2 linked regions of the Coturnix japonica genome follow. The protein of the gene in region 2 purifies or fractionates together with the protein of the main gene of each other region. This does not show direct contact. Links are inferred from orthologs where the notes say so. Each region holds a gene or a part of one and is shown on either strand. Other genes may lie near its edges. The genes, in order: TTC21B and TULP3.

What was found.
Region 1: the proteins of TULP3 (region 2) and TTC21B purify together in Homo sapiens (affinity purification with mass spectrometry; 5 studies listed by BioGRID and IntAct, counting the BioPlex papers as one, with this or other methods). This does not show direct contact. The link is inferred for Coturnix japonica from reciprocal best matches to the Homo sapiens genes TULP3 and TTC21B.

Annotation. Positions count from the first base shown.
Region 1 is NC_029522.1:17,558,505-17,574,921, forward strand, and holds part of TTC21B (tetratricopeptide repeat protein 21B), read left to right. Parts: coding exon 1-72; intron 73-1,970; coding exon 1,971-2,068; intron 2,069-2,498; coding exon 2,499-2,699; intron 2,700-4,266; coding exon 4,267-4,396; intron 4,397-4,835; coding exon 4,836-4,993; intron 4,994-6,194; coding exon 6,195-6,419; intron 6,420-7,137; coding exon 7,138-7,376; intron 7,377-7,669; coding exon 7,670-7,742; intron 7,743-8,446; coding exon 8,447-8,557; intron 8,558-9,318; coding exon 9,319-9,457; intron 9,458-11,068; coding exon 11,069-11,175; intron 11,176-11,764; coding exon 11,765-11,953; intron 11,954-13,327; coding exon 13,328-13,438; intron 13,439-14,175; coding exon 14,176-14,257; intron 14,258-14,800; coding exon 14,801-14,951; intron 14,952-15,425; coding exon 15,426-15,587; intron 15,588-15,972; coding exon 15,973-16,168; intron 16,169-16,417. UniProt on the Homo sapiens protein: Component of the IFT complex A (IFT-A), a complex required for retrograde ciliary transport and entry into cilia of G protein-coupled receptors (GPCRs). Essential for retrograde trafficking of IFT-1, IFT-B and GPCRs.
Region 2 is NC_029516.1:68,374,043-68,390,459, forward strand, and holds the end of TULP3 (tubby-related protein 3), read right to left. Parts: intron 15,489-16,417; coding exon 15,437-15,488; intron 12,411-15,436; coding exon 12,248-12,410; intron 10,382-12,247; coding exon 10,205-10,381; intron 9,180-10,204; coding exon 9,043-9,179; intron 7,542-9,042; coding exon 7,344-7,541; intron 6,848-7,343; coding exon 6,735-6,847; intron 6,326-6,734; coding exon 6,211-6,325; intron 5,602-6,210; coding exon 5,503-5,601; intron 3,984-5,502; coding exon 3,812-3,983; intron 3,306-3,811; coding exon 3,172-3,305; 3' UTR 938-3,171; downstream 1-937. UniProt on the Homo sapiens protein: Negative regulator of the Shh signaling transduction pathway: recruited to primary cilia via association with the IFT complex A (IFT-A) and is required for recruitment of G protein-coupled receptor GPR161 to cilia, a promoter of PKA-dependent basal repression machinery in Shh signaling.

The sequences.
Region 1 (16,417 bases), on a different chromosome or scaffold from region 2:
AAGTGAAAGAAGCTTTAAAATGGTATAAGACTGCCATGGAACTTGATGGAACAAGTGTTTCTGCCTTAACTGGTAAGGTCTTAAACTTGCTTTTTATTTTTTTTTATTGCTTTTAAGATGGGTGATGCTTTGCTTATCAAATTTTCCTACTACTGCTACTATAAGTAACAAGAACTATTACTGAATAGCACGTGGTTCTGGTTTTGTGAAATTATTTTGTTAACTAACCTTACTAGGGCTGTTTTTCCTTTTCTTCCAATTTTTGGCTCCGTTGTTCTGTGACGTTACTATTTTGTGCAATATTATGTTCTTGGCTTTCAGCAGAATAGTGCATACAGCATTTAAAATGCAGACATGAGGTAACTTATTTTTTTATTTCTTTTACCAGTGTAATGCATTTGGTGCACTGATTTATTTTAATCACGGTGCAAATCTATATAGCAGATTTGCAGAGGCACATAATTGCAAAATACATGGTACTGAAGTGGTGTTGCTCCTTAGAGAGTATTAGATCTTGCCATAAGGCAGGGATTAGCATCACTGAGAGTAGTTATTCATACAGGAGGAGAATGAAAATATTTTAGTTTCCTGTCTTTTTCCCCATGTACTGCCTGATTCATGGGGAAAAAAGCCCACCAAAACATTGGCTATCCACTGTTAGCCTCTTGTTGAAACGTCTCTGTGTGGCTGTGTGTGTGCGTTAGTGAAACAAGCACAAATGAAGGGAGGGAGCAAATCAGTGATTATTGCTTATTTGACTATGGTAGAAGGTGGTTGCTTTATCAAATGTGTTGGTCTGAGTTTCATTTGCTGTCAATACTGATATGGTTATTTTGTTATCCTTGAAAACCATCAATTACCGTACTTGTCTGTAGTAACTCAGGTTTACTGTCACACATCAGTGCCTCTGTTTAAACTAGAACCAGATTTTTTTGTTTAATGTGTTCTTCTGCCTGGCTGGGTGTGCACAGACTTGGCTAAAGCAAAGTGGTCTTTCTTTACCTCATCTCCTCCAGATATTTGTTGTCTGCCATGGACAACCCTGCTGTTCTTCATGTGACTCATGTATGCAGATGAAGCATTGTGTTTCCTCCAGACCTCTCCTTGCCTGGGCTGCATCCAAAACACACTTTTTAAAAAATTTTTATTTATTTTAACATACACCACCACTGAAGTCATGTTTTAATTGCAGTTTTCTCTGTTGTCTGAATACCTATTTTTTTTTATTTTACACTGTTGGGAACGTATATTATCATTTCAGTATGTTAATAAAGTGCCTGCATTTGCCAAAGCTAGAGAGTTCTCATGCTCTACAGAAATACAAAATTCAAGGGCAGGTGGTGGAACAAACTGTTTTCTGTGTCTGCAGTGAAGACTGAAGTGCATGCTTTTCAGTTAATTTAGACATGTACGAAATATAATCAGGCAAGACTTCTGATAATTACAGCAGTTTAAGCATTGGAAGATCTTTGGGAGGGAAATATCTATTTTAGATAAAGTGAAGATCTCAAGGAAGTGAATAATAAACATGGCATATGTGCTTCAGTCTTTGCATTTTTATCTGTAGCACTGCTTTCTATTCTGAAAACTCAGTATGAAAAAATCTGCTTTGTGTGTAGTCTGGGGTGTTCTTTTGCTACTTTAACTTGCTTGTTGGATTTGGAAGTGAAGATTTGTTGTACTTTGACTTGTGTTAGTCTAGAACCAAATGAACATTTACTGTGCTCAGCTTCGTAGTATTAGGATTTGGATATTTTCACAAGTGACTTTTTGGCATTGCTTATATTATGTGTTTTCTATCTCAAGCATTTCTAAGTATATGAAATCTGCATTACCATAGATCATGATCTATCTTTTTCTTCTTTTACCACAGTTTTATTAAGAGGCTGAAGAGAGAAGAATTCTAGGGAACAATTCACATCTTTGACTAAGAAGATAAATCTGAAATAAAATCTTTTGATATGTTACAGGAATTATTCGTTGTCAGATAATACAAGAGCAGTTAGAAGATGCAGAACAGCAGTTGGAGTTTCTTAATGAAATCCAAGAGTCCATTGGAAAATCAGCGGTAGGAGGCTTCTTTGTGTATTAAAATACTTTGTTTACTATCTGCATAATGGTCTAATATCTACTTCCACATTTCAGTCACTCAAGTGGAACATTCTGAATTTCAGTTTTCACTCCCCATCAACTTATTCATAACTTAGGAACAGTGTGTGTCTCTCAGGATAAGTCTAAATGTTAGGAAGGGAAGGGTGTTAATTTTTGCAGGATTATTTGATTGGCAGATCATAGAGCTGCTCCCACAAATTAAAAGAATGTGCTGACAAAGGAATGCAGTGATCATTGGTGCTGTTTGCAGTAAACATACTTCAGGTGTTGCAGTATCTCTACACAAAAAAAAAGAAATGACTAACACTAATGATTAAGTAATTTTGTATAAATAACAGGTGAATGTATCTGGAATATTTAAAACGTGCTATTTCTTCTTGCTGTAGGAATTATCTTTCTTGCGTGCAGTCCTTGCAATGAAAAAGCATAAGAGACAAGAAGTAGTGTCTGCCTTGCTGAATGATGTTCTGGATATCCACTTCTCAACTATGCACCGTTTTCCTCTTGGTGTGGAGTATTTTGAAAAACTGAATCCTGATTTCTTGCTAGAAATTATTAAGGAATATCTTCATTTTTGCCCAGTACAGGTAAGCAGCTGTATATTGCATCTCGCTGAAAACAAACTCTTGGAACTTTTTCTTGAAATCAGGCAATCATGAAGTAAAAGCTTAGAAAACTTTTCCCCTTGAAATTTGAATTTCTATGAGGTAAAATTGCTTTTTAAGATATTACACAACCATTTAATCAAAATAACTGTGTAAATACTTCTCTTGCAAAGTCAGCAGGCACTGTAATATCTGAGGAAACTTAGGATGTTAATTTCATGGCCTGCATCTGTATTTCTACAGATTATTTTTTATTTTTTAGAACCTCTTGTGATCAAGTAACTAAGAACACAGTGACTGTAACTATCTTAATGAGGAACTTGGTTATTCACACTGTAATTATTCTGGTACTGAAATATTGTCAGCTGGTCTTGTTTGTTCTAGTCTTGGTGCAAAGATACATAGGACTTACACATTCAGTGGGGACCTGACATCCCTAGAGTTGAAGTAAAGCTTTTAAAGTACCTATAAAGAGTGTCTTCTTTATAGAGATTATTCCTCTGAACTAGTGAGGAGTGATCTTTATTCTGTTTCTAGCAGATTCCTAGTCAAATTGTAGAACCTTTCCATAAATATTTCTTCATGTAAAACTATGAAATCCAGTCAGCAAAATAACATTAGAACACTTACTGCTAATTCATCCCACTGTCTTTGAGATGATATGGCTTGAAAGTCTAGAACAATGTGACAGCTCTATGTGATTTTGTACATAGATGGAGATTAAAGTGTCATTCTGTGAAGCAGTGTCTGAAGGTTTCCTTAGGGTTCATAATGGCAATGGTAGTTTTGTTATTTGGAATGAAAACTGAATTGTTGTCTCCATAGAGGAATGTGAAAAATGATACCTTTCCTGAACTTTCATTATACCTTTATTACAAAAAAGAGATTGTAGCTTCCTGAGGGCGCGCATCCTAAGAGGATATTAGGGGTGAACAGAGGCATCTTTATGTTGTCTTTTGCTTGTTATACAATGTTAACTTCTTCATGGGATGCAAACTGCTCATAATAAAGAGCAACTAAAATGTGATACAGTAGAGCGAGCAGTTGATGTGAAAGACTGGATAGAAGTGGTTATTTTCAGGCCGCTGCTTTCAGTTTGGTGATAACTATGAGGGTAAGTTCTGTGGAATGGAAAAAGCAAAGAGGAGACAGGACCAGGAACTTTTCCTTCCAGCTTTGGCTCTCTTGAAGTTCTTATTACCATTTTGTTGGATCAGTTGGCATGGTAATTATGAACGTGCCGCCAAATGTTCATGGACAGCTCTTTAATTACATCAGGTCTGGGTCTGTTTTTCCTGGAATTCATAGTACACTTTTGTGTCCCTCCCTGCTGATACCAAGAAGTTGCATTTTAGATGTAAAATGTACTCTTATATTTCTTTACAGCAACAACCTTTATCTCTTCAGCTTCACTGTTGTCGTGAGAGTTTAAAGTGAAAATCAGACTTGAAATGGAATTCAAGTATTTTGCTTGTTTGTTTTGTTGGATTTAATTCTGTTGATTTGTTGTTCTTTGTTTTTTGTTAATTTTGTTTTGGTTTATTCCTAGCTTGCAAGTCCTGGGCAGTCTCCTTCACCACTTCTCAAGCAGTATGCTTCTGTTCTTGAAACTGTGGTAAAAACTGTGCCAGGTCTTCAACAAGCTGTTTTTTTAAATGCAAAGGTGAAATATTTATCAGGTAATACTTGTATGAAGGGTTAGTTGTCTACCTCTCTAGTTTCTCTGCTTTTGCTCTTCAATTGTAAAGTATTTCTTCTCCACTGTGTTACGCTAAATAGCTAAGTGAAGAATACCTGCACTACTTCTGTCATTTATGCGAGCATGTTTTAGTTCTGTGGGCACATTAATGTGATATTACATCTATTGCTTTCCAAAAGAGATCAGTTATTAAATGATTTGGAGACGGGACAATAGGAAGAAGTCTTAACTTTGATTTCTGTTCAGAGCTGCAATAAATAAATTAAAAATATGGTCATCCTTCATGCATGACTTTGTTCATTGAATGCTAATAGTTATTAAAAAATAAATCATCAAGTTAGTAAATAATGAATGAATGTTTTGTTTAACTCATGTTTCTTATCACCTACTTTTTCACTTTGTCTTTTTTGACTTCCTAGGGGATATTGAAGCAGCCCATACTAATCTTCGTTACTGTCTGGAAAGGGGTCCTTCTTATGCAGATGCACACTTACTTATGGCTCAGGTCTATTTGGCTCAGAACAATACTAAACTGTGTTCTCAATCCCTGGAACTCTGCCTGAGCTACAGTTTTGAGGTGAGTTGGTCAAAACTATCAAACCACTTTGTTCAGTCAATCTAAGTTTTTTTGTATGTTTTTTAATATAGTGGTCTTTAAAATGAGATTTTTGACTCTTCCACTACAAGCTCTATAACTAAATGCTAGTGTGAATGTGGTATCTGAATATTTATCAAATAAATAACTAATTTTTCTTAACGAAATCCTTATTGCAAATACTGAAATTGTCTTAAAATACAAAAGAAGGAATAGCTTTCCCTCCAATCCTTACATAAGTACTAAAAGCAACTAAAACAAACTGGTACAAACAGAATTGTTGATTGCAGATGAACTTTGCGATTGACTTTTAAAGGTCAACATAGGAGAACTTGAAGAGTGATCCAGTGTCCTTGTATTCTTACACAGATACACAGTTACAGATGAAGATAACAAAGGTGCATAAGGAGTTCAGAAATGAAAATTCATGTTGTTTTAGCACTATAAATTTTACGAGTTTGAAGATTTGCTGACTTGCTCTATTTGTTTACTGTTTATTTTCTGATTAACACTGATGGGGGTACATGGTACAGCATTCCTTAGGCCTGAGTTGTGCTAAGTCTCTTGGCAGCGCATGGCTGAGTAGTGGGACAAGCTAGCACTTCCTTGCAAGTGTTCTCTCCTTTTGGTTCCTTATTCCAAATGATGCAAAAAAGCATAAGGCTAACAAAGTAATCAGGAAATACCAAGGTGCGTGCAACTTTATACGTAACTGCATTTCCCTTATTTAGATCTCCTTTTCCCATTAGGTCTGTTTTGAGAAGGTGTGGAAATGGCAGACAAGAATTAAGCTACAAAATTATTCTATACTATTTTTAATTGTAGCCTAATGAAGCAAATGTATTTTAATGCGAGAGATGCTGAAAATCAATCCATTCTAGTTTAAAATAATTCTGTCTCAAAGTTGATATAATGAAATAGGGAAGTTTTTTATTATGAAACAAACTAATTACTATTTTCTGCAGATACCCTGAAAACTAATATTTACATTATTGAAACTTGAATTGGATAAATTTAGATGTTAATGGAAACTGAGGTCAATGCTGGGGAAAAAGAGAGTCTGTCAGGGAGATGGAATACTGTGCATGAGGGGAGATCTGGAAATTCCTTCTTTTTCTTTATATGTGTGTGTAATTAATTATATACATATACTTACATAAATACATATATCTTTTTCCTTTAGGTGAGAGAACATCCAGTTTATCACTTAATTAAAGCTCAAACCCAGAAGAAGATGGGTGAATTATCAGAAGCTATTAAGACCTTACAGATGGCAAGAAATTTGCCTGGAATGAGAAAACATACAGCTTCCTCAAAGACAAAAGGAAAAAGAATTGAAATTGATACAAGTGATCGTGTGGCTGTCTTTCTAGAATTAGTAGACGCTCATTGTTTGAATGGAGAACCGGTAAGATCACAAACATACCCAGAAACAATTTCTTCCATCCATTAACTGAGTTGTCTAATCCTCATTAGCTTAGAATGTAAAACCATCTATTTCTCTGCCAACAAGATATGCCTCCTGGCATTTTGAGGCTGTGATATTTGACTTGACATCTGATGTGTGAAACCTTGCAAGAAAAAAATATGTATTTGCATGTGCTACACTGACTGAAAATTGTTACACAAGACTTGAATTTTGCAGAGCATATACTCTTATATACTGTTGATGTTCACTGTCAGGCATGTAGGTTAATATTTTGTTGAAACAATCCTACTAGAAATCTTTTTTGACTGTGTCCTTACTTTTATGTGTTAGTATCCTTACTCTCAACTGAATCTTAATATGCCTTAGGATACTGCATCTGCCTAAGGATATAATGTACACACAGCACTGTAGTTGGAAGGCCGGAGGTCATCCCTTTCTAAATGGGACTGGTTAGAGAATGATGTTGTCCGGTTCATTTTTTTTATCATTTTCTTGCGTATATGCAACATAAGTGAAGAGAAAAATAATGTTTTAAATGTTTCAGCAAAAGAAATGAATACATTGGCTTGGTTTTGCTGCTTTTTTTGTTTTGCTTTATTTTTGTATTATGATCTCAGACATACATTTGCGTATGATGACTTCATTTTTGTCTGTTCAACATCAAAACCTGTGTTAATTCTGTTGGTTTTATTTGCAGCATGAGGCTGCTGTAGTACTACAAGATGCCATTGATGAATTTTCTGGAACTCCTGAGGAACTGAGGGTCATGATTGCAAATGCAGATCTGGCAATTGCTCAAGGAGATGTTGAACAAGCCTTGACTGTGCTCCGAAATATTACACCTGAACAGCCTTACTTTGTAGAAGCTAAGCTGAAGATGGCAGACATCTATCTTCAGTGCAGGAGAGATAAGCAGTTGTATGCTGCTTGCTACAGGTAAAAGTGTGCATTGTGTATGTGTTCTATTTTCCAAGATGAGAAATGGCAGCATCTTGAGCTTCTTTGTTCTCTTTTTGCTAAAACATGTCAGAAAATATAGCGATACAATGAGCTCAAGTGTTCTAACATTTAAAACAGTAATTGGAATTCTTACTTTGGAAAGATTTCAGATAATGTATTTTAAGAAATAAAGATTAATATCACTAGAGGATAATGTTATCACACCCTACTTGTTTAGATACCGATATTGATGTGTTAATAATGAACACGGTTCTGTCCTTTGCTTCCAGAGACCTAGCAGAAAAACTGCCAAGTGCTCATACGTTTCTTCTTCTTGGTGATGCATATTTGAATATTCAAGAGGTAGGTTTTTGCTAGAAATGAGTAAGTGACTGAATCATTGCTTTTCTTTGGCAAGTTGAGAGAAGGTAGCATAAGGACTCTTAGCGGTAGGTAGTTGAGAAACAAAGTTCTTATGAATGTTAAAAACTGAAATAACTAACTATGAATGTAGCTGTTCTAAATTCAGATTAAAAGCTGTTGAAAGTACCTTCTCATAATTCTGGGAGAGAAACTGAAGGAGACCATTTCCTCTTGAAGAACGTCAGACAAAAATTTGAAAAGAAAGAAATCAGTCTATGTTAAGAGTACTTTTTAAACTTGAAACAATTGAAATTATGTTCCAATACTGAAAGTTTTATTTAAAAATCATAAACTATTGGACTTCAATATATATGCTAGAAAGTCTTTGATTACTTGATGGACTGGAAATGTTGCTCAGTATTTGTAGAAGATGTGTTGTATTGCGTGAATGTAGAAATTTGAAAAACACACCCTTAAATTCATATTACTGGAAGACTTGATCAGGTTAGAATATGAAAATTAGATAAATAGTTTGGGGAGCTGTAGGTGATTTACAGTGGTCTTCCCTTTAATGAAGAAGTGCAAAGCAAAATATAATTTCTCTGTGTGCTTTTACCTACTCTTGGAATACTACCAGCTTTTTATTTTCCACACATTTGTTGTCTTAATCCTTGACTTCTGTGTTTTATCTTTCACCGTTGAAGCCTGATGAAGCCATAGAAGTCTACGAGCAGGCTTTGAAGAAAAATCCAAAAAATCCAGCTTTAGCAACTAAAATTGGAAAAGCCTTAATCAAAACACATAACTATTCAAAGGTATTCTATAATTACTTGGTTTGTTTCATAACTGAGTAGAAGTATTTAATTTTATAGCTGTAAAGTAAATGTACTATGTAACATGCGATTGGCCAAAGTCACAGTTGCATATTGGTGGATATAAACCTGATGAATTGTAGTTCTGTTGACTTAAAGTTGATACGTGTTTGAACCTGCACTGAAAGTCATCATTCAGTGCTTGCCCTTTAATACAGTTGTGATACCTCTCACATCCGTAGCACTGCACAACAGAATGATAATGAAGGCTTTAGCTTCTCCATATTAGAGAAAAAGAAGAAAATATTTGGGGAAAAATTGAGTTCTTTCATATTTTTAAATTTCACAGGATGTTTTGCCATCATGTTTTTCAGATAGATTTTAGAGAAAATCTTTCTCCTATTGTACAGTAAAACAGAAATTTATAATTCAAATCTGACTGTAATTACACAGCTTTAGTAGCTAATGAAAAAGTAATTTAATTGACAGCAAGTCAGCTGAAGATGGTAGGTGCTAACATGGTTAACTTCCATAGTCACCAAAATGCGGCACTGGTTATTCTGTTTCTTTAATTTGGCTCTGAATCTTGGGAAGTCCAGAACTGCAATTAAGTGACATCCTATTAATACAGTAATTACTAGAAAATAAGTTGGTTGCAGAAGGAGTGAAGAAGAGAAAGGTCTAAGCAGGATGCCATTAAAAACTGAAGTAGTATAGCTTTCTGTAATTTTTCTTTAATAACCAGATTTCTGTGTTTCTTTTAGGCAATCAGTTACTATGAGGCTGCCTTGAAAAGTGGTCAGCAGAATTTCCTTTGCTATGACTTGGCTGAACTTTTAATGAAACTAAAGCAGTATGAAAAGGCAGTAGTAGTACTTCAGCAAGCTCTAGATCACGAGTATGGTATGACTGCCATTAATTTACAGCATAATGTGTAGTTACTACTGTTACACTTATTTGTGTTTTCTCTCTGGCTGTAGGCAATAGTGAAGATCAATATCAGCTTTTTTTTTAACTATGTAACACAGGGAACTACAAAGTGATAGATGAAAAATACTCAGAAATAAACTTGAGTTTTACAAAAATACTTGCCAGGATTTTTACACATGAAACATCACATCAAGTAAATGCAACTTCAGACCTTTATATAGGCAAGTTTTTTGCTCTTTTTTGCTAGCAGAAATTCTGATATGGTCCATATAGGTGTGACTAATTCCTGCTCCTAAGAGAATAGTTCTTTAAGTGGAAGATACTGCCAGGTATCCTTCACTGCAAAGTAACCAAACCAGTTGCAGATCACTTTCTGTGTTTTAGGAATGTGTAGTCACAAAGTTAACTCCTTTTGTTTTAGGATGTGCATGGAAGTGTCGATCCTCTATTTAACTTTATTCTCTTAAAAAATAATAATAAAACAACATCAGTTTATCATTTTGTTACTGACTTAAACATTTAAGGATCCAGCTAACTTGATAATCTTACTCAAGAGAGCTTAATCTTCTAGTGCAGAAAGATTAAATTAACTTTAAGTTGCCCCATGTACGTAAAAATATTTACTTCTGTCTTACAGTGAGACAACAACTGTGGGTTTTTTTTAATATCTTTGATATACATACTCCACAAGAAAAAAAACCAATAGTATGTCATCAGCTAATTAATTCTTTTTCCATTAGGCAAAGTATTGAGTAGATCAGTATCTCTGTTTAGAAATGCTAGAATATGCTTCCTAAGATGTCAAAGAGAAATGAAATGTAGGGAGTGTTATGGAGGGAGCAGTCTTATGTAAGGACTAGAACAAGTTGCCAGCTGACTTAAAACAGTGTTTCACAATTAAAACGCTTTGAAGACAATTCAATATATTTATATGAAAACATAAACACTTTTTTTTTTTATAGTATGTAACTGTGCTCAAGACACCAATTTCACAAGAGATTAAAATGAATACAAACAGGAGAACTTGTACTGTGTAAATGCTACCTTACACATGCGTATTTTTAACCATTATTAGAATTAGCATGCTGCTTTTTCAACAGATACTAAAGCATTTAGTTAAAATAACAACTTGTATTCATGTCCATGTTACTCATTCTAGCAAAAGAAAGCTACTTTGAAATCTGACTGGAAATTTCACAAAGCAATCTTGTGCTTTTTTTGGTTGGGTGACACTAAATCAGTTTGGATGTTTTTCATTGCCTTTAAACAGGTTTTTTGTAACAAATAGAAAGAATGGCTGTTTTTGGTTTCCATCTTAAGTTACTCATATATTTCTGAAAATGCAAATGGAAAGGCTGGTAATTTTTATTCTTTTCACAACTCATCTTTGCCTTAAATCTCACTCTGTATATTATGTTTACTCCTTCCATTGCCTGCTAACTCTGCACATAAAATCAAATCACATTCCTGAATAAAATCAAGCTGTGAACTTCTCATTAAGCTGTTTCCTGGAATACATGGAGAATTTTGACTTCCCAGGATCAATTCTTAAAAGACTCATGTTTGTTTATCTATTTCTTATAGTTAATGAATTGTCTTCTCTGATGGAAGATGGACGGTACCACGTTCTATTAGCGAAGATTTACAGCAAAATGGAGAAGATTGATGAAGCTATCACTTCATTACAGCAGGTAAAGGGAAGACAAAATGCAACCTTGTGGAAGCTTGCAACATCTTCATTTTTATTCCTTTTATTTCAGCTTGAGCCAATGGAGGGAGTCCTTTATTTGGGAATTAAATAAAATTCAACTTTAAATCAAAGAAAATTGAGCAAGTTCAATCAGAATTGGGCATGGCTATTTCCATAGCTGTTCCTTTTGTTCTCCTGGGGCATCTGCCTTTAACAGAGTTCTCTAGTTCCATGGTTCTATCTTTTCTTAATCACTCCCTAAATGAAGAAGTAAAATGTGGTAGTTGTTTGCATACTGTCTGAATTTTCTATACTTAATAAAGGAGTTAAGTACTTAGACTTTGAGTTTTAGCTTTTGAAGTTTTGTTTGTATGCTTAATTTTAGCCTATTTAAAGTCTTCAATGTACAAACCTTACAGTATTAGATGGACATAAGAGAAGCATGTTGGAATCCCATCTTGAAGCGTTAAATGCTGGGCTGTTTGAAACTTGTAAAAATTGTAGCTATGTTGTTGTAAAATGAATGATACAATATTGAGTCCTTCGGAAAACAGTTGACTGATCCTTCCTTATCCTTCTCTCCATGCTAGGCTCGAGAATTACAGGCCAGAGTACTTAAACGGGCTCAGACAGAACAGCCAGATGCAGTTCCTGCACAGAAGCAGTTAGCAGCTGAAATTTGTGCTGAGATTGCAAAGCATTGTACAGTTCAGCGAAACTATGAAAAAGCAATTAAATTTTACAAAGAGGCACTTGTTCACTGTGAAACTGATAAAAAGGTCAGTTCTCCCTCTGACAGTTTTGCATTTGTTTTCCTCTTCCCTTTTGATACTTAGCAATGCGTTTTTCCAATTATCCACAGCGTTGTACTGTTTTAGCAATTATTTCTGTTTTGTGATGAAAACCACAAAGGCTCTGTGTATGTATTTGCTTTTTTTTCCTGCCTTGAACTTTCTCCTTTCTGTCACTCAAAATAAAATAGCTGTATATATACTGCAAATTTCAGTGTATTTACCTGAAATCCGCATTTGAGTGCTGGTCTATGTTCACTTAGTAGTCTGTTACTTGCCAGTATGATAGGACTGCTGTCATGCAGCAGTTGAGGATGTGTAACGAATGGTATGGTAAGAACGGCAACTGCTCCAGCCTTGCTTGTTGCCTGTCACCTGGAAAGAAATCCCAGTGACTTCAGTCAGTTCAGACAATTTCTGTCTCTGCTGCCTGTATTCTAAAAGTTCTGTCCCTGCTTGGTAGGATTCTGGTTTTATTTGAAAAATGTTGCTATTGCTGAGCAGTGGTTATTGTACTGCTTCTCTTTTCCCTTCACTGTCTCTTTCAGATTTGCTTTAATGTTCCTTTACCGACATGGAATACAATGACACCGTAGCAAATCTAAAACCAAATTTCTGATTTTTAGAAACTTGTTTTCTGCTGCGTTAGATGTCAAGTTTAACCGATGTTCTTCTCTAACATGCCCCAAACAGGAAGTTTCCTAACTAGCATACTGATTCACAATCTTCCACTGTTCTACATACAAAAACTTTCTTCGAATCACTATTTGAAGAATAATTAATATTCTCATGTATGTGCAACTCTGTATCTGTTCCATTGCTTGGTTGCTTGCCTTTCTGTTTCAGAACTACAGTGACTGAGCCCTGAGGATGCATGCTTATGTAAATGCTGGTTTCTTAATATTTATTCTGTGGTGGTTTCTCATAAATGAATTCATACAGTTATAATATGTTAGGTAGGGAAATACAAGCAAGAAAACAGTTTCTCTTAGAATTTGTCTATACAAATGCAGTTAATCAGTGGATGTTAATGAGATATTTGCTTGTTGCGACTTTGTAGCTATTTGCATGTATGTTGTTTTTCTCCCCAAGATAATTATTCTTGCTAAAATTATTTATACTTTGGAGCAATGCTGTCTTCAAGTCTGCAATAACCAATTAAAGAAGAAAAGTTTTACCTTTTTTGTAGCTGGGGGAATTGAAATCAATTAAAATTTTTGATTGAGACTCTACAGAAAACAACAGTAAGATCTGTCGGTAAAGTAGAACTATACAGCAGAATATGAAATCTCTGGTAGACACGTACAGAACTGAACTTCCTTAGCTGTATGCAATTCAAAGATTAAATATTTTACTACACAGGCAATGTTGGAACTAGCACGTTTGTACCTTGCACAAGATGATAGTGATGCCTGTCAGCATCAGTGTTCCTTGTTACTGAGGAGTGAGCAAGATAACGAAGCAGCAACGATGGTAACGTACTGTTATACTAGTTCTGTGTGAGAAGTTTTTTGAAGTTTTTGTGTCAGCAGTGTGATAAATTTGTAAAATACAACTTTTAGAAAACATCACAATTCAGGAATGTGAGCAAATCTGTTGCAACAAAATATTGCCATTTATGCTGGATACTGATTCAGTACGATCTTAAAAATGATTTTAAGATGGGAAAAAATTATTCTCTTGCATCAAGTAACATCTGGAATTTATCCTAGTACAGTGCAAGACTGGGAGTGATAGCATTCCAATTAGTTTTGTTAAATTTACTCTTTAATAACTGCCTCTTGGGGGAAAGAAACTGAAAAAAGAACTGAATTTACTTTCTCTTCTGAAGCGGGCGATGTGTTTCTTTTTCCTGAACTTTAAAGTAGTTTGATTTTCTAGATGCTTAATATGCATTTCTGTGAAATAAAAATAGAAGTATTCAAGTGAAAACAAAGCATCTTTGATAGCTACATTGTAATGTTTTATTCTCTCTTGCCTTCCATCTTAAGTGAAAAACTGAGAAGTGAATCTGCTTGTTATTATTCTGTGTGTCTAGCTGAGGTGTTTATTCTCCAGAGATTAGTGGGGAAAAAGGCTCTGTTTACTTTTTGTCAAATTCCTGCAACACTTTAACCCTAGGGTTTTTCTGCCCCTGGTTTTAAAGAACTAGAGTTAATTTTGAAACACAATATTTAAGGCTTTGTTTTGGTTTTTGGTCAATACTGTAGATGATGGCTGACCTCATGTTCAGGAAGCAAGACTATGAACAAGCAATCTTTCATTTCCAGCAGCTCCTCGAACGCAAGCCAGGTGATTGTTCACTAGTGGTATTTTAAACTCTTTGGTACTGATGTCTAAGGAGAGAGAGGTACAAATAACTAAAAAGTGCTTTGTTATGTGATAGTTATAATGCAAATAAAACGAAGACCATCACTGTCTATAAAAACATAAAGCTATTGTAGGGAAAGATTTGCAAATAACTTCACTCAGCTATAGTAATTTGTACTGCTTCAATGCAATGTGCATTGCTTAACTTAAGCCAAATGTAGTGTTATGTACTTGTACCTGTAAAGTGCTTTCTCTAGTATTTAAGCTATCAAGTGCACAAACACAAGCCTGGAAATTTAGGATAAGGCTATGAAAGTGAGGTACAATTGTACTTACCTTTGTACAGTTTATTTAGGGGTATTGCAGAGGTATCACTGTTTTTTATCTGACACTTTTATATAATATGACTTACATTACACTCTTGTCATTTTTGTGTGTTAAAAACAGTGCAGGGCCTTCATCTTTAAATCTGTTTGCTGTGCAAATAACTGAAATGACGATGTCCTGTTTATTTAATCTATTCAGATAACTATGCCACTCTCTCACGATTAATTGATCTGTTAAGAAGAGCTGGAAAACTAGAAGATGTCCCAAGATTTCTTTTAATGGCTGAAAAACATTCTTCCAGAGCAAAGCTTGAACCAGGCTTTCACTACTGCAAAGGACTATATCTCTGGTACTTGTAATTAAAATAAGGTTCATATGACATAGTGCATAGTTACATTAATTTTCTTATCTGTTGTCATTCAAAGGTGCTACGTATGGTGTGTTAAGTGCTGTAGCAGTACATTGCTTTAGATAATGGGATTTTAAGAAAGGTTTCTTTGCCTCTTCTGTAGTACTTTGCAATGAACTTTTCAAAGAAAAGATGTTTTATCTTATGTACGTCTTTCATATGTTCTGTTTAGTAACAAAGGATATTCTTTCTGGTTCAAAGATGTAATATAATTACTTTGAAATTCTGGAATTTCACAGATTATTTTTAATCTGCAAAAACGCATTCCTTGTACTAGCACATGTGATTCTCAAAGCTTGTATTATTGGTGTGTGCAAGTATGTCAACTAGTTTTGAAAAGCTTGGGTTTTTAGGCACAACTTGGGGCAGTCAATTATACTTGTCCAGTTTTCAGTAGTTTAATTATCTGTGTAGGTATACAGGTGAACCAAATGACGCACTCCGCCATTTTAATAAAGCTCGAAAGGACAATGACTGGGGACAGAATGCAGTCTACAACATGATAGAAATTTGTTTGAACCCAGATAATGAAACTATAGGTGGTGAAGTCTTCGAAAATCTGGATGCTGACATAGGGTAAGTGAATGAAGTAAATGTTGCTTGGATTATTTTATTAACTCCCCCTTTCCCCAACCTCTTAATGATGTTTATTGATCAAGTAAATTGCTAGAATTCTGAACTGCTAAATAAATCCCTGTTAAGCAGAAAGTGTAGAGGATTTTATCTAGAATCCTAGGCACTTGAAGCTTTGGTTAGAAGATAGGTTGTAGGCAGATTGGAACTACCTTTATTACAGGAGAGAATATAGAATGCCTGTATAACAGATGCATGCTTTTATCACGTTATTATGGATCCTGTGTGCGCTTATAAATTATTTGACATATAAAAATGTGATTTTATATATAAAGGTAAACATTTAAACTATCGTTTGCTTTTTTTTACAAATGGTTTATGATAACAGTAACTCAACAGAGAAGCAGGAGTCTGTGCAGTTGGCTGTAAGAACAGCAGAGAATCTTCTGAAGGAACTCAAGCCTCAGACCATTCAGGGTCACGTTCAGCTGCGAATCATGGAAAATTATTGTCTCATGGCAACCAAACAAAAATCAAATGTCGAACGAGCTCTAAACACTTTCACTGAAATCGTAGTGGCTGAGGTTAGTAGCTTGTCTTTTTTCCACAGTCTTCTCCCCTACACTTAGTATGATTATTTAGTCTTGTTGTTCAAATTAGGTATAATGTGAACTAATTATCTTATATGAAACATGCAAAGAAGCTTGCCCTGAAATAACATATTTAAGAAATCTCGCGTTGGATTGAAACTTAGACAATATCAGCATACAGTTGAGGCCTGTTATTGAAGTGTGTATTGGCTTTTGGTTTGAGTTCTTGGGTTTGTTTAAGAC
Region 2 (16,417 bases):
ATCATCCTGGTTTTGTTTATTAGGAAATGACTACCAATTCCCATCCTCTAGAACATGCTCACATGTGTATGTATTTACTAGCTTAAATATTTACAGAGTAGGTTACAGTTATAGTAACTTTCACCTTAATCATTTTGGTGAAGTCAGTTTGCTTTTAAATTTTCTTCCACTTTGGGGACCAAATAAGTGGTCTACAGCAAAGAACAGCTCCACACAAAACATGTTATGACCAGAATTCTGTAGACTATGAAGTTCAGGAGATACAAGATTAACAGTTGTTAGAGAAATCAGCTCTCAGTTTGTAAACCAGGGGAAAGGTTTTTCTTGCCATCTTTAACAGGAATAGGAAATGTATCTCAATGATAACTAAGAGATTTACAGATATCAGGAAGTAGAGCAGCACAGTAAGTATAAAGCAGACAGTATGCTGATAGTAACAAAAAAAAGATCACCATTTCAATTTGACTTTCCCCTTAACCGTGTGCTATTTGATTCAGAAATATACTTTATTATACTTCAGTAGCAGAACAGGTGCAGATCGAGGGTAGGAAAATGTATAACAAACCACCTCAAATGCACTACCTTGATACTGAATTAAGAATTAAAAACATGAAACTAAGAAGCATAAGCAGCTCAAATAAATAATCAAATGGGAGCCATGAATTACACCAGGCGCCCTGCTGTTGGAAAAGGAAAAAAGGCATAAAGGGCATTAGAAAATGAGCTTATATTTATTCCTAGGCTTCTAAGTGTATGAAGAAAACATCAAAGAACAGAATTGAGAATAACAAAGGAAAAGTTGTATGAAAGAAGAGAGATAAGACACAAGAAGCCAGGAAGAAAAAGAGGAAATAACTAGAACCAGAGTAACAAATAACAACCACAAGCGACAACAAAATCACACCAAACAGAAAACAAATAACCTCACTTAGAATCATTGAGTTTTCCAATATATAAATTATTTATTTGCATTGAGATATAAAAATTATAAATACAATTGATGTAAAACAGTATCTAATAAAAGAGCACTGATGCAGTTAATCTGTCCACATAACTTGATCAAGGCTCCGAGACTTTGGCCCAGTGAAGATGATCTGACATCAACAAATGACTTGAAGATCCACTGCTAACTGGCATTACTGTCAAGCAATGCCACCACGAATTTTTTAGAACAGAGCAAAATCATCTTGAATTGGAAATCAGCATTCAACCTTCAAGACCTTCAAGTCACACCAAACTAATGCAGTGCAATTTCTTTCACACTGTCCTAACCAGAAAAAAAAAAAATAATCAGATTACTAAACAGACTTTTTAGTATTTCTGGATGAGTAAAAGGAAGGCAGAACCAGGAGCTAAAGAATTCAGCAGAACATAACTTGAGAACACTGCCTGATCTTGTCCCTGGCCTGATAAGCAGGAAGTACATGAAGGCACAAAGGATATTCATGCTATCAGTTCTCTTTGCTGACTGATATGCTGATGAGATCTCTTTGAGTACAATGGCCCTCCTACAGAATGGGTATATGAGATTGGGCCTCCAACATTTTGCAGAGTTGGTCCTCCAGCCCGAGTTTATAATTTACGATTAAATACAAAGTTTACAAATGATGACTGTTTTTTTTTTTTCTTCTTTTTTTCTTTTTTTTTTTTTTCCAGGGAAATTAAACCCTATGAGGTCATTTCCTGCTTCCATTTTGAAAGAACAGGTTATACCTACCACTGCAAAGACACTGGAGACCAAAAGCAGTGTCTGCTTCTTAGTAGTCTGAAACAGAGCCCACCCGCTGATAGTAGCAACATGCAAAACTGAAGAATGCTGTTTCTTGTCTTAATAGAAGATGCAGTTTTCCAGGCTCATTGTGGATATGCATAGTAGCCATGGAAGTGGCAAGTTATTAGCTGTTGTGCTTTAGTACACAGCAGATGTGAGCACTATGAGGCTTGTGTATCAGCATGTAGCAACTCACTGATAAATCAAAGCCGTATGAATCAAGAAATGTCCCACGGTGTAACCTACAGATTCCAAATTGTGCAATCCAGCATTTAAATGGGAACACGGGAAAGAAACACTGTAGAGCCTCGTGATAGTTTTCTTTTTCTTTTAACTTGCTGATGCCTTTGAAAACAACAGTAATCTCCTCTTGAGGTATCTTACATGCAGATTAAAATCATTTTAATGAAACCTACTACAAAGCGTCATAACTTGAGATAATCTCACATTAAACAAACAAACAAAACAAAAAAAAGAAACCAATTACATCTTGCTCATTCCTAAAAACATAGAAAATTTTTACAAATAAAGTACAAATTAAAAAGTATTTCTGATCTAGATCCCAACACTGCTTTTCAGGAGCAGTACAATACTACTTTCGGCCAGAGTTGTGTTCAATTCAATCTATTCAATCTTATATTTCACGTAGTTAAAAATAACACCAATGGATATAATTTTGCCAAATTAAAAGGGAGTGATGCTTCATTTGTTAAGAAGTATATTAAGGGACATGAAGCAATTAGGATAATGAAAGGAAAATAAGACTATCAGCTTTAACAGAGATTCATTCCACAAAGTAAGAGACGTTTCACTAGAGCCAGTATCTCAGTCCAGCCCTGTGTTCGCTGACTACTAACTAGAGTTGCGCATAGGCTTAATCTGAACCCTTTTCTCTTTCACTGCTGTTAACAGGCTGCAGAATACTGCACAGGGCAAGACAGAACATACACTGCCCTCCTTTTTTCTTGCTTAATCTGACCAGAAACTCAAAGTCATATCAGTAGCATCATCTCCAGGGGCACTGCTGAAGATTCAGGGTACATGAACACTAAACCATTATTTGTCTAATCCTAGCTGCAAAGGGTTTCAGTAGTGAAACAAATTTCTAAGCCTGCTCAAGCAGCAGCTGATGCAAAGGTTCTAAAAGCAAAAATAATTCTGACAACAAAAACATCGCTCATGTTCCTTGTTCTTCCACAAAGCATACAGAGGCAGACTCCTAAGACAGTCCACCGTTAAATACCGAAATGCCCTCAGGACTGCTATTTACTTTCCAATAAGCCTACAAAAAATTGTCTTCCAGTATCTTTCCGCCCCCAATATGCTTTTCATTACTTCACCTTGAATTCTAACAAGATACAGAGATGGGAGTGAGTTCCATGTGTCAAGTTGGCTGTTTCTCATTCACAGGCCAATTTACTATCAAAGCTGGACAGTCCAATAGCAAAGGCCTGAAGAGCACAGAGAGGATAGTTATAGTCCAGAGTGAAAACATCTTCTGCTACACGACCGAACTGCATCACAATGTAGTCAGCTGGGGAGAAAGAAAAAAAAAAAAAAAAATCAGAGACCAACAATTTCAGGGGTAAGCAAAAAAAAGAAACAGAAGTTTAAAAGTGTCGGTCACTCCCAAATATACACGGTTAGTGTATCCACCATCTCTCATCAAACTGACTTTAAAATCTGTTGTCTCTAGTGACTGTGGTATTCCTAGAGATTACCTTCCTTCTAAGAACTAAGGCTCAAGCCACTATTTCATTGCATTGAAGGTATCATGTTAACTCCTTCTTTCCCCTGCAAGATGCTTGCAGTTCCTCTATCTCCTTTTCATGCATCTATTGAGAGCAGCCTCTCTGCACTCACCCCAGAAAAGTCAGGCCCTCTAAAGTTTTCTTGCCAGAAGTCCCAGTAATACTGAGCTAACTCCCTTCACCCAGTCCCCTTCTCTGGGAATAGTGCTCTATTCCTCCCAAATCTCATGATACATGCTGTTTTCCCTGTTTAAACAACACACTCTTCCACTCTCCACCAAACTCTTACGGTCATTGTCGTGGACAATCTGGAAGTTCTTCACTGAGGCCTGAGTGACTCTCCCATGGAAATTCAAAACATAGGACTGAGTATCATCATTCCAGACTGGAGCCTTGTTGTGCAACTCAATGAGGTTCTCTAAATCTTTGGTTTGCCATTTTGACAGAAGACTCTCATTTTCCTATTCCGAAGAAAGAAACATTTTATCAGATTCAGAATGACTCTGCTATTGAGCACTGCCTCTCTCATATGTGCATTCTGTGACTTCAGCGTTGTTCCCTATTAAGTGAAATGACAGCACTTAAACTCAGTCCTACTGAAAGTATCCTAAAAGTAACAAGAAAATTCTTTCCAAGCACTCCTTTCTACCCCATGAAATATCACCATATATTCTGGTTAAAAAACTACACTGGAGGGTTTTAATATTGTACACAGATAAAAAAATAGATTATTCTAAAAAATGCTTTATTTTCCTTAAAGTAAAACTTGATTTGATTAAGGTGCAAAAAGAACCTGGACAAGTTCTAGAAGTGGGCCCAGATGAACTTCATAAAATTCAATACGTCCAAGTGCAAAATGTTGCACCTGCAATTCCTACAGTCAATACAAGCTGGGGGACAAAACTGTGGAGCAAAAAAGACTTGGGTATACTAGTGGATGGCATGCTAGACATGAGCCAGCAATGTACCTTCACAGCTAAGAAAACCAAATGCATCTTGTGCTGCACCCAAAGGAGGATGGTCAGCAGAGCAAAGGAAGTGATCCTGCCGCTTTTCTCTGAGCTGGTGGGACCTCATCAGGAGTACTACATCCAGATGTGGAGTCTTTAGTACAGGAGAGACATAGGCCTGTTGGAGTGTGTTCAGAGGAATAACACCTCCCCTGTGAAGACAGGCTGAAAGCACTTGGGCTATTCAGTCTAGAGAAGGCTCTGGGGAGACCTGATAGCACCCTTTCAGTATCTAGAAGGAAGCCATAAGAAAGAATGGGACTGTTTAGCAGGGTCTGTTATGACAGAATAAGGGGAAAATGTCTCAAACTAAAAGAGATTTAGACTGGATATAAGGAAAACATCTTCCACAGTGAGGGTAGTGAAGCACTGGAACAGGTAGCCCAAAGGAAATAGACATCCCAGCCATGGAGACATTCAAGGTCAGGCTGGGCCAGGCTCTGAGCGACCTGTTTGAGCTGTAGATGTCCCTGTTCATTACTGGAGAGATGGACTCTGGATGATCTTTAAGTGTCCCTTGGAACTCAAACGATTCTATGATTATACGATTCTAACAGCTTTATGTTTCAGCCTTGGCCACAGTCACTATGTTTGCCTGCTAACAAAGCAGTAGGCATAAAAGAGAGAGAAAAATACAATAAGTGCCTTTCATGAAAAGGGGTTGTACATGCAACAGCAACAAGTCAGAGTAGCCATTTGCAATAGCTATACCATAAATCATAGTTAGGTTGCCTGAAAGATGAGTATGAATACAAACAGGATTCAGAAACTTAGAAGTGAGGTAAAAGGCAAGAATACATTAATCACCACTTTTGAGCAACACTGTTACTGCCCCGTAGACTCAGTAACAGCCATGGCCAACACCAACCATTCTCTAGTAAGCATGATTGTCAATAACACCCACACCTTCACCAGAAAGTTTTCACACCTCTTCCTCCAGTCTGAATTATGACCAAACTCCATAACTCACATTTCGTGGCTGGACTGGAATTCTCTTATGATTCATATTCATTCCTGGAATGATTACAGACATTTTTCTGGGACCCTTGAATCCTAACACATTGGTTTCCTGAAATACAAGGAAAGACGCTATCTTCAGGAATGGATATACTCCATCATGCAGAAGGAAAGACAGCAAAGCTGAGCTTGAATCCACATTTATGTTATTTTCAGAGATTTGCTGGCTATAACTGCGCTAGCTGGATCTGCTGACATTTCTGTGAACAGGTTAATACTGGAATTATCAAGACATATTTTACCCCTAAAGTGCCACTTATGGGAAAATAGCCCCAAAAAATTAAAATCACGCTTCAGGCTAATAACCTTTAAATTTGTTCTACTGTGCCCATGATAAAAGACAAAAACTTCAACTTGACTGACTTGGATTTTGTGAAGTATCTCAGATTTTCCTTAAACCTCAGGACTGGAGTATCAATTTTTGGTCAAGTAACAAGCTCATTAGAACATTAATTTGGGTCTCCCTCCCTCTTACATTCATTAAAATAAATAAAAAATAAAACTCATAAGAAACTGCATTTGTGCCCTTTACCTTATCTAGTGGAAATCAGTTCTGAAGTTTAGTGGGGGAAGCTGCAGGCAGCATCACTTTGTGAGCCCTGCCTCCTTAGTAATCAGCCTGCAAACTAGAAGGGGGCAAAAGGGAAGAGGCTCTACTTACATAATAAATAGCTGCAAGTTCTTGTCGAGTATGAGCCTTATCCACTTGACCTTGTGCTTTGACTGGGCTAACTCCATGGTCATAGACTGTAAATTTAGTTCCCATGAGGTTTGACCTAATTTCAGTTATAGAAAGACATAGAAAAAGAGACAGGTATCAGTAGAAATTATTATCATCTTCCAAAAGCATGTGCACGTGACAGAAAAGTCAGGCATCTCCAGTCACCTGAGTCTTTCTCTAGTGATCTCAGTAAGGAGTTTCAGTAAAGTGCCCCTTGTAAAATTGGGTACGTTACCTGTCCTGAAAAGCACTGAGCCAGAACTCCTCCAAATCATCACTATGAATGGTAACCGAGTAAAGACTGACAACCTAGTTGAATTCAGTAAGCTCGAAGTGACAAATTAGTTCTCTCTGAATAGAGAGCAAATTACTATCCATAACTCCAACTAAACAAATATGTAAATTCCATCTGTCCCACTGCAGAAGATGTACATTCTTCTGTAGTTTTTATCTAGTGCTCTCACCTGAGTTTTCCAATGAAACTTTCCCCTTCCCGGGATAAATCAGTTGGGTCAACTGATATGACATAATTGGACGTTTTACTCTTTTTTCGTTTTCTACCTGCAAGAAGAAACATCTGGAAATACAAAACTTTTATCAAGACTGGAGTTTTGAAAGAATGCAGAGGCACTGCTATCCAGGCTGTTACCTCCCAATTTCCCACATCCATTCCCATTTTTGTTCTGAACTGTTATTAGTCTTGCTAGTTTTGACCTCTCCCACAAGTACACAACCTGAAATCCTGCTCTTCCATCTACAGTACTCAGCAGTCTAGATTAAAGGCATTTTTTTTTTCCCAGTTTTCCCCACTTTTCATCTGGAACAGCTCAGTCTCCCTGCTTTTCTTTAACCCTGACATTTTAAAACTTTTAAGTTTCATCTTTCTTTGTATTCTGGCTTCAAAACTTACAAACTCCTTCCTTAGTGCCTTGGCCAGATATAAGTTGCCCTCATCTGCATGCTGTCACTCCTCAGCTTCTGGTTCCTTGCTGATTTATGCAGTGTTCTTCATTACACTAAAATATTACGTCTAAGAATACAACAGCCAAGACACTGTACGCTGCTTCCAATACCTTTCTGTTGTTATCCTTTTCCAGATGCATGTAATAAGTAGGGAAGAGGCCCCGGTCCATTCCCTTCTTATCTCTAGTGATTCGACACTTGATTGTAATACCACGTGGCGCAGGGAGCAATGCAAATTCCTCCAAGTTCTCTACTTCTCCCAGATGTGCAACCGCCTGAGGGGATGGACTACAGGAAGCACCTATTTCCTATAGGAAGAACCATCATATTAGAAAACCAACATCAGACCAGCAGGGTCGTGGGTATTCCCCATGAAAAGGAAGATCTGTTGGAACAGATGCCCCAAGAACATATCTGAGAAATGGAAGTTGAATGAAAAAACATCTGTGTTTCTCTGAAGAAAGTGGATAGAAACTTTTTTACTCTAGCTCTCCCAGGGAAGGAGAGAAAATAAAGCCAGTGCTAAGAGTGCAGCTGTGACATGGAGCTGGGACAGGCCACATCATGCTGCTGGGCAGTGCAGTAAGGAAGGTTCACTTGACCCAGAGTCCTGGGCCCTCAGATAGGAGGGAGGGAGCCCAGTGCCCACTGCTCTGAGTTGGGGGCTTCTCAGTCCTTTCCTTAAGAGAAGAGGAAAACATGGGTCAGCACCTCCCAAACTTCCATCTGTAGGATCTGAGGGAGTGGTACAGAACTGCATCACAGAAGGATCAAGTTAGGTGTTCAGAAAACATTCTTCTCTGAGAGGGTGCTTGGTCATGGAACAGGCTTCCCAGGTAGTGGTCAAGGTGCCAAGCTGCTACAGTTCAGTTCTATCCAATGATACCTTGGACAATCAGACACAGGGTATGAACTTTGGGTAGTTCTGTGGGGAGCCACAGAATGGAATCTGTGATCCCTACGGGTCCCTTACAGCACAAAACGTTCTGTGATTCTGTAAAACCTTGTAGACTGCAGAACCTGGAGTATTCCTTCATCTTGGACACTTGAAATTCCCTCATGGGGAGCTTCCAAGTCATCTCCAGCAGCCATCAACCACACCTCAGCTTTTTATTAGTAAATAAAAGCAAACAGATTTCTTGTACTACTCACTGGCTAGTGTGTATACTGCGCTACACAGCCTACACAGAATACACAAATACATGCAATTGGGTCACATGAATATTATCATGGACTTCCAGGATCAAGGATCCCTGAGGCCTTTTATCCATTCTATTTACTCCTTGTATTCTTACGCTTGTTGTCCCCTGACTCAACTTGATCCTCTTCCCTTGTATCCCTTTCTCTAAGCACCTCATAGTAAGCTTTGTACAATCCCAGAATCCACTCCAACATTCTGTTCCCCCTTGCATCCCTACAACAAAACCTATAATAGAGGTAGCAAACCCTTTTAGTTTGTATGGCATTTCAGAGTTTCTCTGAATCATCCTGGCAGATTTTGAAGCAGAGACGATGGTCTAATCTTTCTTCTTTGAGCATCACAGGGGCACTGATTCAGAGTACTCCCCTGTTCACTGATTAGGTTACTTGAGTTCAGTTTTTCCACCCATCACTGTTCCTTTGATGATTACCAGGTCTTTCTATTTAATTAGATGCTCTTCTGTTAGATAATCTGACACTATTGTCCCTCCTCCGACTTCAAAGATTAACAACTGGAAATACAGTATTTTAACACAGTGCTAAAGGGGAAAGCAGTAAAAATCAATAATATGCCCAGTTCTCATCAGAAACTCATTACAAAACACCTACTGCAAAGGATTTCTCAGTGGTTGCAGAACTAGGCCTCTCAGATTCAGGATGTGGTGACTGAGATGCTGGTCTCTTACTTGTTTCTTCCTCCTCTTCTTCCATGTCCTCCTCATCAAAATTCAAACTGCCTGAAATTCCTGTCAGAACACAGAATTAATTTAATTTAATCTAAAAGAAAGTGTCATGAGTTTATGGCATTGCTAATTTACATATAACCTTTGTGTAGCTATTACTAATACTTATTTCAAATTGCTGATTTTCTTCTCGTGCTATATCACTTTCTAAGCTTTGTAATTCTGATTATATTTATACATATAATACTGATAGCAGTAGAAACATCTTACAGCTGTCAGTTTTTGGCTGATAAAACTTTTATTAATACGTAGTTCAGCAAGCAATGTATTGTATCATGAATGTGCTATCATTGAATTAAATTTTGCTTATTTTTATATGCAAAAAACTAACAACCTCTCCGTAGTTAAATATCAAAAAAGGCAACCCAACTCTATAATCGTAGGTAAGACCTACCTTGTAGGTTGGACTCTGTACAGTTCACATTCTTCATAGAATCACAGAATTGTAGAGTTTGGAAGGGACCTCCAGAGATCACCGAGTCCAACCCCCTTCCAAAGCAGGTTCCCTACACCAGGTCGCACAGGTAGGTGACCAGGCGGGTCTTGAGTATCTCCAGAGAAGGAGACTCCACAACCCCCTGGGCAGCCTGTTCCAGTGCTCTGTCACCCTCACTGTAAAGAAGTTCTTGCGCACATTCGTGCAGAACTTCCTATGCTCTGCTTTCTGGCTGTTTCCCCTTGTCCTGTCTCCACACACTGCTGAAAAGTCTGGCCTTGACACTTTGCTCCCCCACACCTCAGATATTTATAGATCTGGATCAGGTCCCCTCTCAGTCTTCTTTCCTCAAGGCTAAACAGACCCAGTTCACTCAGCCTTTCTTCACAGGGGAAATTCTCCAGGCCCTTCAGCATCTTTGTGGCCCTCCGCTGGACTCTTTCAAAGAGATCCCTGTCTTTTTTGTACTGGTAACTCGCTTTGTTATATCTTAATTTTCTAATTATTTTTAATGCTATAGGAAAAGAAAAAGAAAAAAAAATTATAAACAGAGGAGTCCTGAAAAGCGTGTCTGCCTACTATCAACACTTACCTCTTTTCTGTAAGATTTCTTGCAGATCTGCATTGCCTGATGTTTCTGTTAGAGCATGTTCATTGTTTTTCTCATCTGCATTTCCTGCTGTTATGGAAGATCCAACAGAGAAAGTTTGGAGTTTGGTTCCTAAATCTTGCACTTCTGATTTCAAGGAAGAATCTGGTCCATCAATGCCTGCAAGCCAAAATGAAACATAACATAAACATTTCATTTTTACAGATATATTCCATAATGGTTGCTCTTTTCATCCATTATTGCTTAAGCACCCTGTATGGGAACTGTTGAATCATGGTCTAAACTTCTGATTGATCACCTGAGGTGAGCACTGAGTCAGACACAGGAGCACAGGTGAAGGCAATTCACTTGTGCAATTGGAAGGGGTGGAGCCTGGATCCAACCTTCAAACTTTTCCTTTACAAGGAATGACATTAAACGAGTGTTCTACAGTAAACATCACAAATCAATTTGTTAAGAATATTCAAAGGTATAGGACAAACACATAGTAAATTTGATGCCTTCCACAGTTTCAGAAGAAATGGCATTTCCAGGTTTAAACATGTAGCACAGCATATGCTGCACTTTGCAATTGATAAAGATCTATGTCAAGGTCTGGAACAAAATGTGGGATGCTCTGAGAGTGGAACAACCTATTTTAGTATGTTGATAAATGGCAAAAAAGGTAAGTGCTGGTGTTATGGCAGTAGAGAATGAACCTTCCCACTAACATTCCATTGTCGTGGCACATGATGCCGTGTGACAGCCTGACAAAATGGCATCTATCAAGGAACTGCATGCGAAAAGCAAAGGTGTGGAATTGAATTTCTCCATGTGGAAAAAATAATACCACTTGACATTCAGTCTCCATAAACAGTCAGGAAATGTTGATGAACAGTGGACGTTAGCACAGCGAGGCAACGCGTGGTGAATTTCAGCAGTGGTGACACAGCAACAGTAGATTACCTCCCTGGTGCAAATGTTTATTTTATTCTTTATTTTTATAAGCATAGAATTCAGGCTTTTGCTCATTGTAGGTAAAAATGCAGAGCTAATGGGAACGAGTATGCTGAAAAATAATGTTTTGTAGCTTAGAATTTGCTCTATCAAATAGCACTAATGGTGCTAATGGTGCTTCTTCTATCTGTTGTAACTTCCATGGAAATAAATAGGAGGCATTACTTTCAGGCAACATACATATCAGAAATGTGTTTATGTAGTACACAGTATAGTTTCTGCTTTGATTTTTGTTGTTGTTTTTTCACTGTTTTTCATCTTGAAACTGCACTACTTTTTCTAGTTGGACTTCTGACATGATTTATATGTATTAAAGAACCTTTAGAACTGTGGAAGCTAGTGAAGTAGTTAGATTCCTCTTTTCTTTTCTGCAGTTTTGATAATACTGAAGTTTCCTAACTATATTTTTTATTCTTCTCAAATTTTCTTTTATCAGATTTCCCCCATTTAATTTTAAATACATAAATGTTATCATCCACATCAACACTTCCATCACCATCCTAAGCTAGTGAAAGAACCCTAACAGTGGCAATACACCATTCCACACTAGTATGCACCTCAAAGCCTATTTGCTATCACTTTCTTGATAGGCTGATAGGATTTTAGCTCTCACAAACTACTTCCTGATGTTTCTGCTACAATGCTGTTACTCTTTTTTCCCACCCTATGACATACAAGTCTTTAAAGCTCTCACTAATGCATTTCTTTTAATTCTCAATAAAATGTCTGCCGTTTTACTGTAATGCCCTCATACCACTGAAGGGAGGCTTTGGCTCCCTGGTATTGTGTCATGTTTGTGCATTTTCTGGACCCCTATAATTTGCTTGTCATGCTTCTGTTGCCTTCCAGAAGGCCACAGGAAAAACAATATTTCTGTCATATTATACTGTAGTTCTATAGCTGTACATAAGGTTTGTGATCAGTCTTGTTTATGGCTTGACAACTGTCACAGCAACACAGGTGACCATCTAAGACATAAAATGCATGCAGTGGCATGCTGGGAGAACACTGTTAAAATCAGGTACTTACCATGTAACACAACATCACTGTGGAACGTGGCAGGAGTTTCTACTAAAGGAGTCTGTTCCTCACACCCTTTGGGCTTCAACCTGTGCAGCTTTGCCTCGGGATTTGGCTGTACCATCAAGGGATCAAGACGTTTCTTCTTCTGCTTTTTCTCTAGAAGGGCTCTCTGTGAAATAAAAGGAAAAGCATGAATTAAGAAAAGGTAACCACAACACTTGCCAGAGAGCCTGCACCTCAGCCACTGATGATGATTTCCCATCAACCTAAATAAAGTGCTCCTGTTATCTCTCACAGAAATCCTAGACACAGATATTACAGTGTCTGGAGTGAGACACTGCTTTTGGTTCTCCTCTGATGGAAGGATCTATCCTGATATCATCAACAAATAATTTTAATTCCTTTTCTCCAGACAAAACTGCAGTAAACCTTAACATAAACAGCCAAATTCAGTAGTCACTTAGAATCAAGTGTGAAACTGATCTATCTTACAAAATACATGTATTTAATTCAGAAATGAAAGAAATTCAAGTGTTAGTGTTAAAAACAAAACATTTACCCATCATACATACACGTGATGTTCATTACTCCTATTATATGTAAGTAGAGAGATCTAAACTTATAGCAAATACAGGCACTGCATCATTTTAAAGACAGCCATGCTTAAATCTTAAAATATAGATGATGCATGATGTAAGATGTGCAGACCACCTGTCACAGATGCAGATTATTCAGCTATTATTACTTACTGCAGAATTATTTACAAGGATTGTCCTGAACAGCAAAAAAATACAAAGAACTGTATAGAGATTATTAGATCAGTCTAGAGGAAGGTAAGGTAAATTAAAATTCTTAGAAAATACTCGGTAATATTTTTTCTCTAGTAGTCAGATCATCCAGAAGAAGTCTTTAATATATATGCATTAGGATAAATTAATGCCAAGTTAAAAAGTTCTGCTATATTGTCTAAATCTTTAATAGTTGACATAAAAGGAGAATGGAAAACACAAATATATTTAAAAAAAAAAAAAAAAAAAAAGATTTGAGAAAAAAATGTTGCCGAGGCTTCTGTACCCAGCAAACGGACAGGTGAAGAATAAACACATCCTAAAAACAGTAAGGAAGTACATAGCTACAGTTAGAACTGGAAACTGAAACTGGGATCAGTATAGAACATAATAATTTTTGAAGTTACTTTACTGTTTATTCTACAAGATTAGATTTTTTAAAGCATATTAAAACATACTTCACTGCTAGTGAATATGACAAACTTTTTCACAAGAACTTAAAGGTAACCAAAGTGATGAAACTTGACAGTCATTAGGTTTCTCTCCAAAGCTTTGTTTATTAAGAAGAAAATTTACAAGCTCATGGGTGTGATGGTTGGTCGCAACTCTTTCTCTTTACACAAGGTGGCACAGCAGCCTTACCTTCAGCACAGCATGTCCTTAGACTTGTTCCACTAAGGGCAAGTTTAAAAAAACACGCTTCCATCTACTAACCACATTTTTCTCCAGCCCCGTGTCACAGTAAAATTTCACATAGAATTACAAAAAAAAATAATAAAAAAAAATCACATGACACAAGAACGTTTAACTCATTAAAAACTCATTAAATAACAGGTTTTGTAATTTTTGCTGTTGGTATTCCACATCATTCTTCCTATCACTGTAATGAACAAGAAGATGGTGCACAACAAGGCTTCAATCACTCTTCTTGAAGGTGCAATGCACTATTTATTACTTGATGTAGTCTACCTTAGTAGACCACAAGGCATGGATTTCTGAGGCTCCTTTTCTTTCAGCTCCTCTTTAGTTCACAGTAAGATGGCGGGGACAAATGCAAGTGATTATGGCATTAATAAAACTTCAGTGTCAAGACTAATATTGTATTAAATGCATTCAGAAACAAGCCTTCAGTTTTTACCTTCTCCATCCACAGAGAGATAGCAGCAGTACAGGTTGAGCTACAGGTACCTCAAAAGATACTGTTCTACTGCCGAGGAACTAAGCACTGCCTGAGAAGCCATCCACACTCTTCTCAAGGAAGTACAATAGGCAAAAGCTTTGGGGCAGACAGATGTGACCCACAGATTATAAACAATACTTAACTAAAATTATATGGTTTGAAATCCATCATAACGATGGATGAGAGACACAAGCCCTTGATACATCAAAGGCTTACTCTAGATTCTCCATGTGCTCAAAGATGCTGAACACAATCCTGTTGTATTTCACAAAGACATTCTGCAATTTTTACCTCAGTTCCTCTAAATGTTTAGGAGAAATTTCTTAAGCGTGGTATCTGCTACAAACAGTAATGAAGCCATTATGTCTGGCTGTGATCTGCTATTGACCTTTATTGTTTCACAAAGCATGGTGCTACTTGTGTAAAAGATAGTTATTTAACTCTGAAGTGCGTTAAATAAGTGTCCATATAAGCACGGAGGTCAAGACAATAATGAATCTGTCTAGACTCAGCGCAATATAAGCTCAGACTAGAAATAACAAACAAGTTTTGGTAAAGAGGGTTATTAACTGATGCATCAGTTCCCTGAAAAGTGTTATGTCTTAACTTAAAAGATCCTCAGATGAGAGACAGAATTTCTAAAAACTATACTTTAATTTCAACACAGCTTCATGTTCTACCTTCATGAATTTAATCTATAACGTAATTCAGTGAACTCCATTCCACGTGAAATGGACAGCTAGATAATTATAATTATCCCATAATTTCTAACTTTTAAATAAGCACTTGAAATTTTAGAGGATGTACACTTTATTGATTTCACAATAAATACAATAAATACAATAAATACAAGCTATCTAACAAGAGTCAGGCAGAACTTAAACGAAAAACATTAGCAATCGGTTCTGCTTGTATTCTTCAGACCATTTTTAATCACTTCCACACTTCTCAAGCCTCTGTGACACTGTGAATCCACCTGCAGCCTTGAATATCACAACAGAAACTGAACAGTGTGGCCTATATTCGTGATTGCTGTATACCTTATGTAGTTCTGAGCAACAAATTATGAAGTAAATGAAAAGAGGACAGGTAATCAAGAGGAAAAATGGGAATGGAGAAGAAGGGAAAGAAAGGGAAAACAAGCACTTTAACTTTCCTTTCTAAAATAAGATGGCTAATGTTTGTTTTCCTTCATTTATTTTTGCCAGTTAATGCACAACCACTGACCTGATTCTCTAGTTTCAGCTGTCGTAGTTTCATGCCTTCATCCTCAAAGATGCTGGAAAAGGCAAGAGACAAAAAATTATTACCAGAAATTAGTTTGCATTATATAAAAACACGACATCCACAGACTGCAACATAGTTGTCAAGGCTCCAACTGTAAAACACTATTTCTAGCCCATGGGAAGACCAAGTAATAAGGCATTATGAAAGAAACATACTTCATTTTCTGTCACAAACAGGACCGGTGATTCAGTCACTGAACTAAAATTCTCTGAAAACATTTTGTAAGCAAAAAGCTTTCATTACTCAAAGGCTTTTGCTACAAATTATGATGTATTATTATTATTAGCCAATGCTGTGGCCACTATTGGGCCCCCAGGAAAATATGCAAGTCCAGCAAAGGGTCACAGAGATTACTGAGCGACTGGAGCATCTCTCATATGAGTTCAGAGAGCTGAGAGTGGTAAGATCTTCATGGAACCATCTCTGCTGCAGGCTGAACAAGGTATATAAACACCCCATGACAAGGCATAAAGATGGAACCACTAGTGCCTACTGTCAGAAAGAGAGACAGCGGGCACAGTTTAAAACATAAAAAAAACACAAGAAAATGCTTTTTTATTGTGGGTCAGTCAACATTGGAACAAACTGCATATCAAGGCTGTGGAATAACCTTTTGTAGAGATACTCAACAACTGAGCAGACATCCCCCTATGCAACCTGTTCCAGCTGACCCTATGGAGCAGCAGGGTTGGACGAGATGATGTCCAGAGGCTCCTTCAAACCTTTGCTGTCTCTGTGATTGTGCCTGTTTGGGTTCTGGAGACCACAAGATAAACAGAAATTAAACCAGTTAAATGGCACAAAATCACTAACTCAGGTAGACAGCAAAACTTCTATGAAGTTTATCGCTCTTCATGCCGAACTGCACTTGTTTTTATAGTATGTCTAACTAAAAATGAAGGAAATAAATGAAAAAATATA